2 linked regions of the Oryzias latipes genome follow. The protein of the gene in region 1 interacts with the protein of each later gene in a pairwise test. Links are inferred from orthologs where the notes say so. Each region holds a gene or a part of one and is shown in the gene's direction. Other genes may lie near its edges. The genes, in order: prpf40a and ccnl1.

What was found.
Region 2: the proteins of prpf40a (region 1) and ccnl1 interact in binary tests that used the Homo sapiens proteins (3 or more experiments, as listed by UniProt). The link is inferred for Oryzias latipes from reciprocal best matches to the Homo sapiens genes PRPF40A and CCNL1.

What each region holds. Positions count from the first base shown.
Region 1 is NC_019879.2:20,298,890-20,303,214, reverse strand, and holds the start of prpf40a (pre-mRNA-processing factor 40 homolog A), read left to right. Parts: upstream 1-1,396; 5' UTR 1,397-1,519; coding exon 1,520-1,522; intron 1,523-4,325.
Region 2 is NC_019871.2:24,442,034-24,445,856, reverse strand, and holds part of ccnl1 (cyclin-L1), read left to right. Parts: intron 1-385; coding exon 386-506; intron 507-651; coding exon 652-716; intron 717-2,723; coding exon 2,724-2,823; intron 2,824-2,914; coding exon 2,915-3,019; intron 3,020-3,216; coding exon 3,217-3,470; intron 3,471-3,823. UniProt on the Homo sapiens protein: Involved in pre-mRNA splicing. Functions in association with cyclin-dependent kinases (CDKs). Inhibited by the CDK-specific inhibitor CDKN1A/p21. May play a role in the regulation of RNA polymerase II (pol II).

The sequences.
Region 1 (4,325 bases):
TGCTTTTTTCCCCTAAATAAACTAAATGTTTAAACCTATGTCTCTTCATTCTTACGGGGCAACTTGAATAACAGACTCTAAATGTGATGTGCTTTGTTGGTAGCTCATGTGGCTATGCTTGACAGGAAGCCAATTGTCAGATGAGACTGCAGTGCCTGCAAGGCAGGTCAGCAGGATGCTGGACTCAAAACTCACTGCCTCAAAATGGCCTGCAGCAAACATTGACCAACTCATATATTGTGAATCAATAGCACAGACAAAGATGAGGTACTGGCGAACTGGGTTAGGACTAGATCATAAGCACTCAGTGGCTCAGGCGGTTGAGCAGGTCGGCCAATGATCGAAGGGTCGGCGTTTTGATCCCTGCTCCCCCCGGTCAACTATCGTTGTGTCCTTGGGCAAGACACTTCACCCTCCCCGCCTCCAGTGTGGTTCCACTGGTGTGTGAATTCGTATGAATGCCCCGGTGATGGTCAAAGGGACCATAGGCGCATACTGGCAGCCACGCCTCTGTCAGTCTGCCCCAGGGCAGCTGTGGCTACATCAGTAGTTACCATCACCAAGTGTGAATGAGGAGAGAATGAATAATAAACATGTTGTAAGGGTTTTGAGCGTCTGGAAAAGCGCAGATGAATCCAATACAATACTATTTTTCTTATAAATATAGTGTTTTTAATGTTTATTTGGAAAGTGGGAATTAGTTGAGCCCTGGTTTAGACATCTAATCAACCTAATTGTCAAGAAACAGAAAAACGACAGGTGAAATGTAGTATCAATAATTAACCCCATGCTTAAAGCAAAGCAAAAGAAAATATTTGATAAATGTATCTTTAACTGATTCATTTGTTATTGTTATTTTTTATTTCAGCTACTCCAAATTCTACATGATGTTTAATCAAAAAACAGCTCTTTCCGTTTTTGTGTAAGGCAACCAGCATTACACTCAAGTATAGTCATCTTTACCCGACTCATTTTCAATGTACCTAGTAAAGAATAAAGATAATGAAATCCCTTATAAGACTATTCTTGGCATAATTAACAGCCTTTTAGTGGCATTTCTTCTGCCCTATTTTGGCAAAATATCCTTTTCAGATTTCTAAATTGGTTGAGGTTACATTAGATGTTGAGCAGGTCTGGTAATTGTCAAGAAAAGAGTGAACACATTTTATACCATTTACAATCATATGGACATATGAGTTATTTCATAATAATATGTGTGATGTTTTAAGTGAAACATTTGACTCAAAAGTTACATTGAGCCACACTCTTTTATTTGCCCTACTTTTAATTTGTTATATAGTTCGTTTGTGTTGTGTTTTTTTCCCTTTGAAACTCATAAATCTGGAATTCTTCTCCCCTCATCCCCGTTGATGCGCATGTCTGCGCACATTTAGCGCAAACTAACGCCACTGAGCTACAAACTTTGACCTCTTTGCGCCGGAAGCAACGTCGACCAATCGTATCGCTCTTTGTTGGGAGGTGCTGATGCTCACATTTGTCGAAGGCTCATTGAGACAACATGGTAAGTATCGTTGCTTCAAGTGCTAGTTTTTGTTTTCATGTTATATGCTAAATGCATTTTGTGGCTTTAAATTCACTACTTCTTGAAGGTTATTTTAAAGCTTATTTTACTATAGAGGGGCTAGACGTTTCAACAAAACCGCGACGTTAGCTTTTTTGTTAGCATTTAGCCGAGTTAGCGTCATGTCATCGACTATCACCATGAGAAGAAACACTAATAAGGAAAGAATAAACTCCCAATTGTAAAATGAATTTTGTTCTGTCAGTGTGGCAGTAGATAATTTATGCATTTTATGTAAAGGTGGTTTGGTGTAAAGGTCACAATCGCTGCCTCTCTTACTCTTCTTAGCCAGAGCATAGACCTAGCCCGTGTCCTCCTCGTTATAACAATCATTAACTGATGCTTAAGAATTGAAGGAAGGGTAATTAAGAATAGGGACAGACTTTTTATATTTCATGATAATCCATCTATCTACACGAGATACTTTTTTATTGACCAAAATTATGTATTTTTACACTTTTGTACCTATATGTTTATTTGTGAAATTACAGTTAACCTAAACGATAACTATAACTTGCTCACTTTAAAAAAATGTATTATTTATAAACGTTTTAAATGGATTTCCTTAAAATAAATTGTCTGTGGTAGTTTAAGACTATTTTGGGGGAAAAACATCTTGACAATGAATAACTAGATTGTTTTTCCTGCGGATATACATTTAATTGTGCATGTAATTTGAATTGATTAAAGTTGTAGATGTTCTATTTTAACGTGTTAGATAAAGAAAAACAATACAGGCCAAGTTCCAAAAAGTTAGAACTAGAAGTACTGTTCAACTAAAGTTTAAATGTTTACAAATGGTTAAAATGTTATATTTGTCAGTAAAAATCAGCTTCAGGTGTCACAGCTCAACAGGAGTATGACTAGCATTTGAGTTCAATGCATTGTTACATAGTTGAAAAGTATTAACAGTCTGTGAAAAGCAACTTGAAAGCTAAAAAAAAAAAAACTTTAAAGTTGGAATTCTGCCTCTGTCTCAAAAATTGTGGGGAAGGGTAGTTAAAGCAACTGCTCTATACAAATCTAAACATATATTATTTTGATCAAAATTATTTTCGTTGAAGCTTTTATGTCCACTTAGAGTAGAAAGATATGGTAAATGGATCATTTCTATTGCAAAAAGTATGCTAAAGTGAATCATTTCCCTCCACTAACTATAATAGAAAAAAAACATCTTATTTGTAAAGTAACGAAAATACTAAAAGTAGATTAAAAAAAACTTGCCTAAAATAGAGCAAAATTTTCCCACTCATGCTGTAAATGTTTTGCTTTTTAACAAAATCCCACTAAAGTATGTTGTAGATACGAATGGATAAAACTGGTACACAGACGTAGTTGTTTGAATAAAACAATATTTTGTTTGTTATAACACCATCAAGCCGAAGAATTCTTACTTTCTTTTCTATCTTTTCTTAATTGGATTATTCTATATAAATACAATTCAAGTGGTAAATAGATCCAATGTCTTCAACTGTAAGTGATTTTAAACACAGATTGTTTAAATATATAATCACAATAAAGCAAATGAAATCAAACTTTATTTATAGAGCACTTTTTAATACTTTATTATTGCAAAGGTCTTCACACACAAAAAATCAAAGAGCCAATGCTGTTTTCATAAAAATAACATCAAACTAATAAAAACACAATGCTCTTAACTCCCTGATCCCATCACCTCCACATTAGAAAACATTAAAATGAGCATATATTTGAGAGTAGGAATAAAACCAAAGTGAGTATCTCTAAAGTAATTTAAATTAAAACTCTTGTTTTAACACGAATCCCCCCCCCTCCCCAAAGTCACATATTTATTAAGTGACATGTTTTTACTTTAGCCATCCATTAAGAACTGTTTCACTTTCCAGTGTTTTTTTTTCATTCCTGAATCTTTGGATTTTATTTACAGCCCCTTGTTTAACCATTTACCTGCTCAGTTTAGACTTTCTGGTTTAACTTGATGCCTTGTATTAAAAAAAAAAACACTTGAAAAAAGTGTTAAAAACAGCTGCAGAACTAACGGCTGAAAATATAAATGACTTCTGTAGATAAAACCTGATTTTTTATTATTACCTCTGACAACGTCTGGACCACCCCACCTAAAACTCCAACTTCTGTCATGAACGATGTCGTTGGTTTTGCTCCTTATTTTTCATGGGTATATTAGGGTGAAACTTAAAACCGCGCAAAAAAATTTCTGGCAGATCGTCTTAAAAACTCACAGTGGCTTGTTGCAACAGATTTTTTCTCATCTTTTTAATTTCTATCTCAGAATTGAAATGCTTGGAGGAACACAGAGTACAGTTTAGTTACTTCATTTGTTGTCCCCCTGAAAAATCCATTGTATGACGTCAAATATTGCCTGTCTAGCCAGTCAGAGAACCTATTACATTTAAATTACTAATTTTAATTAGTTTAGCTTGGCTTTTAAAACTCCAGCTTCAAATGAAAGTCTAAACTGGTTTCAATTAGGATTTAGAACATTGAAGTGCACAGTAAATGTAAAATCCTAGCAATGAGATTTGTTTATTTAACACCATAATCACTTTCAATTTTTAAAATCCTATAAAATGCTGTTTTTGTAGGAATTCTGTCATGACTAGTTTAAACAAAATATATTTTTTAATATATCAGTAAATGTATCATCAAAATATTGGGATTGCTATTTTTTTATACTGATTGACTTTAAAATACTTATGCATGTTTTTATGAAAGGAATGATATTTGTCCTCATGTAATTACAATG
Region 2 (3,823 bases), on another chromosome or scaffold:
GGTTACATAATTTTTATAGCGTTGTTTGTTCTTGTAGACTTTAGTTTGTAACGTAGCACTGACCCATGCTAATTTTTACACTGCATTTAGGTTGTTAGTCATGGGGACAGCTTTTTTCCGGTCCTAGGTTTAACACAGGTTACATTTCTTTTAAAGCTGTGGATCAGGGCGATTGAGATGGGGGCAGTCTACAGATTCCTAAAGCTTTGTTTGAAACCACAGGAGTCCACAATCCCACCACACTGTCAGGCATGCAAACAGTGTACCTAGTTGCTTTGAGTTGGTTGGAAAGGGAACCAAGAGTGCAAGGATCCAAAAAAGCACTTTCTTCTCTTTGTTACAAAAAGACAAAACCCCTTTTTTATTTGAATTCTTTTAAAAATAGGACCCCAAGTCCATTGATACTTGATCAAAACTACATTAATACCAAAAACCAAGTGATCAAAGCGGAGCGACGGGTCCTTAAGGAGCTGGGCTTCTGTGTTCATGTCAAGCATCCACATAAGGTGAGCCAAAGCCACACTTTTACTTATAGCCTCATTTTAACCCATGCTAAGGCAGCTGCTCAGGACCATTTGTCATCATTCAGTTCTTAATAAATACACTTCTCTGCAAAGGGCTTTCTACTGACATGTTTGCTGTGTGTTCTAGATAATCGTCATGTACCTCCAAGTCCTGGAATGTGAGAAGAACCAGCCTCTAGTTCAGACGGCCTGGTAAGTTCTGGCTTTTTTATAATCTAGTTTTTTTTTCCAAGCACCCTCCATAATCATCCCCACAGCGACAGCCTTTATCATGTCTGCCAGACGTACCGCCAGACCTAGGCTTAATGCGGAGTTGAACAAGTTTCAAACAGTTGAATTCCTGGTGAGGACTTGATGACTCCTCAGGATCTTGTTACGGTGTCGCTCGTCACATTAAATATAGCAGTCGGACGTTACTCAGGTGCTCATACTGGAAGCTAGCATTTTGAAACGTGCTCTAAAACAGATTCACTCTGTCCTGACTGCAGCATTTTTCTAAACGACTGAAGCGTTTATGCAGCAAAGCCTTTTTTAACGTGTCTCACTCTCGTCTGCCCTTGCATAGCTTTCTGTGTAGTCTGTTTGATTTACCCAGAGAACTCGGTTTAACTTTGTCCTTTCTCTCTACTCTTTGATTAAAGGGTAGTCCATGCTGGTAAGTCACATAAAGAACCTCTGAACTCTGCCTCCTCCAACCACATGACCTCAGGAAGCTCCCCCCATTGGTTGGCTGCCCTTCTCCTGACAGCCATTCCCAATGCCGAGATTCACTGAAGGGGGCGGGCGAGCCTTTCCCTACAGCCAGCATCGTCTTGTTTTCTCTTGGGTGTCCAAAAGGATTTGTATTTTTTGGTCTTGCTCCAAGATCTCGGTTGTGATTCCTTTGTCCAAATAGCTGCAGATAGATTCGTATGCTGTCTTGTTTTTAGTTTACTTGCATTTAAAAATGAAGTAAACTTAGCCAGATTAAAATATATATTTATATATATTTTTTAACTTGCCCATTTTACCTGCCCAGTTTAACATTGAGAGTAGACTGAAATTTCTCATGCCCAACTTACATGGTGTGTAGACATGTCTGTCTTGCAGGCTGATCCAGTCCAAAGATTTTGGCTCCACGGATCTGTTCCAGCCGCGCAGCAGTCAGAATCCAATGGCCATGTTGTTTCTTGAGGCTTCAGCATGTCGTTTTGACTATGACCGGTTCTCTAGGCCATATTTCAATAACGTTTGAACTTAGAAAAAAAGATTCTGACTGGAACCATGTAAACACATAGGTATGACATGACACGCCAAACATGCTGCTTTCAATCAGGAAATGAAGCAACTTTTAGGATGTGGGCAAAGTCTCCAGAGTTTACAAAACACCAGCAGCGTTTTTTTCTCTTCACAAGTTAGGATTGTGATATTTTATAAATGATATCATCCCCCCCCATTTTTGTATTTATGACTTCTATGTTTCTGGAGAGCATAGACGATCCCATCACTGTTTAACTCACAGTCGTGCATTTTATGTTGTAGACTTCACCACTAGGGAATTCTTGGACACGCCATCTTTATGTTTATATCACTCACCTTAGGTAGTGAAGACGATTGTGTGACTGAACACACCACACACTGGGGATTGTTGCCTAACTCGATCTGTGGGGGCCAGTTTTAAGTGTGACATCGTGTTGATGTCCGGTCCATTCATTAGCTCATGCATGCTGACAAACATGCTCTTCATGTTTGTACCTATCAAACCCCAAATCTGGAACTGCTGGTAGCTGCTTTCTTTTCCTGCATTTTCCCCAAACTTACAAGGCATGTATCATCATTTGATTCCATCTCTGTGTCCTAAAGTTTCTTTTGTTTTTTTTATTCTTTGCTATTACATTTCCCGCATTTCTTTCTGTGACATGCTGTCTTCCTGTGGATGCCCGAGAGAGAAAAGGACAAAGTTAAACAGGATTCACTTTAAAAGGCTTAAGTGTGATGTTTGTATTGATGGATCAGGAAAACTCTTTATTTCTCCAACCCAAGAAAATTGAGCTTTGTTTTTTTTATTTTTTATTTTTTTACCAACACATTACTGAAGTAATTACTGATCATAAGACATTAATCCTGCAGTGCGTAGTTAGGGGCGGTTGTAGGAATGAAGGAGAAGTGGCTTTGGTTAGAGATGCTATGTTTTTGTTGGTCTGTTTTTTTCCATTACAGGAACTACATGAATGACAGTTTAAGGACCAATGTGTTTGTGAGATTCCAGCCGGAGACCATCGCTTGTGCCTGCATCTATCTAGCTGCCCGAGTTTTGCAGGTACCACCACCAGCCAATCACTTCAATGCGTTTTCATTTTATGGGTGCATCCCTGTGTGGTGAGTGTTTATTCATTTGTTTTCCTTCACAGATCCCCCTGCCATCCAAACCTTACTGGTACCTGCTTTTTGGGGCCAGTGAAGATGAAATCAAAGAAATCTGTGTGACGACGCTGAGACTGTACGCGAGGAAAAAAGTAAGTGTTGCCAATTTCCTGCCTTATCTGTAATAAATCCCACATAAATGTGCAGGGAATTTGGCTTTGTTCTCAATGTAATTTTCATCCAATATTAAGAAACGCGGAACAGGTGAAGTTTTTGATCATAAGTCTTGAAAGCAGCACAAACGTAGTCTTTAGTTTTCTTTGACTAAACGGTATTTTTCCTCTCCCAGCCCAACTATGAGCAGCTGGATAAAGAGGTGGAGCGGCGGAAAGTTTTCCTGGCAGAAGCTAAGCTGAAGGCCAAAGGCCTGAATCCTGATGGTACTCCTGCCCTGTCCACACTGGGGGGGTTCTCCCCCGCGTCCAAACCGTGCTCCCCGAATGTGGCCAAATCGGAAGAGAAGTCTCCAAATCCTCCCACAATCAAAGCGGTTAAAAAAGAGCAAGACAGCAGAACCCAAGTCAACAAAAGTCCACCCAACGGGTAAGAAACTAACATGACTGATCGAGTCATGCGTGTGCTGCAACACCAGACGATCACTCAGCTTTGATTTCAGTTTTGGACTTTTCCACGAGCTGATAATTATAAATAGGTGGTTAATATACGTTTATCCAGAAGCAGGAGGAATGGTCATTGTGGTGACGACTTCTAATGTGAACATTTATCATTTTTACAAACAAAAGTTACACATATAATCAGCTAAATTCTCAACAAACAAACCAAAACTTCTCTTGGTGGATATTTGACAAATGAAGCATTCTGATGTGATTCTAAATGAAGTCTAATAAATGCCTTTATTCTTAATCCATGACACCATTTATGGGGGAGCTGGATGG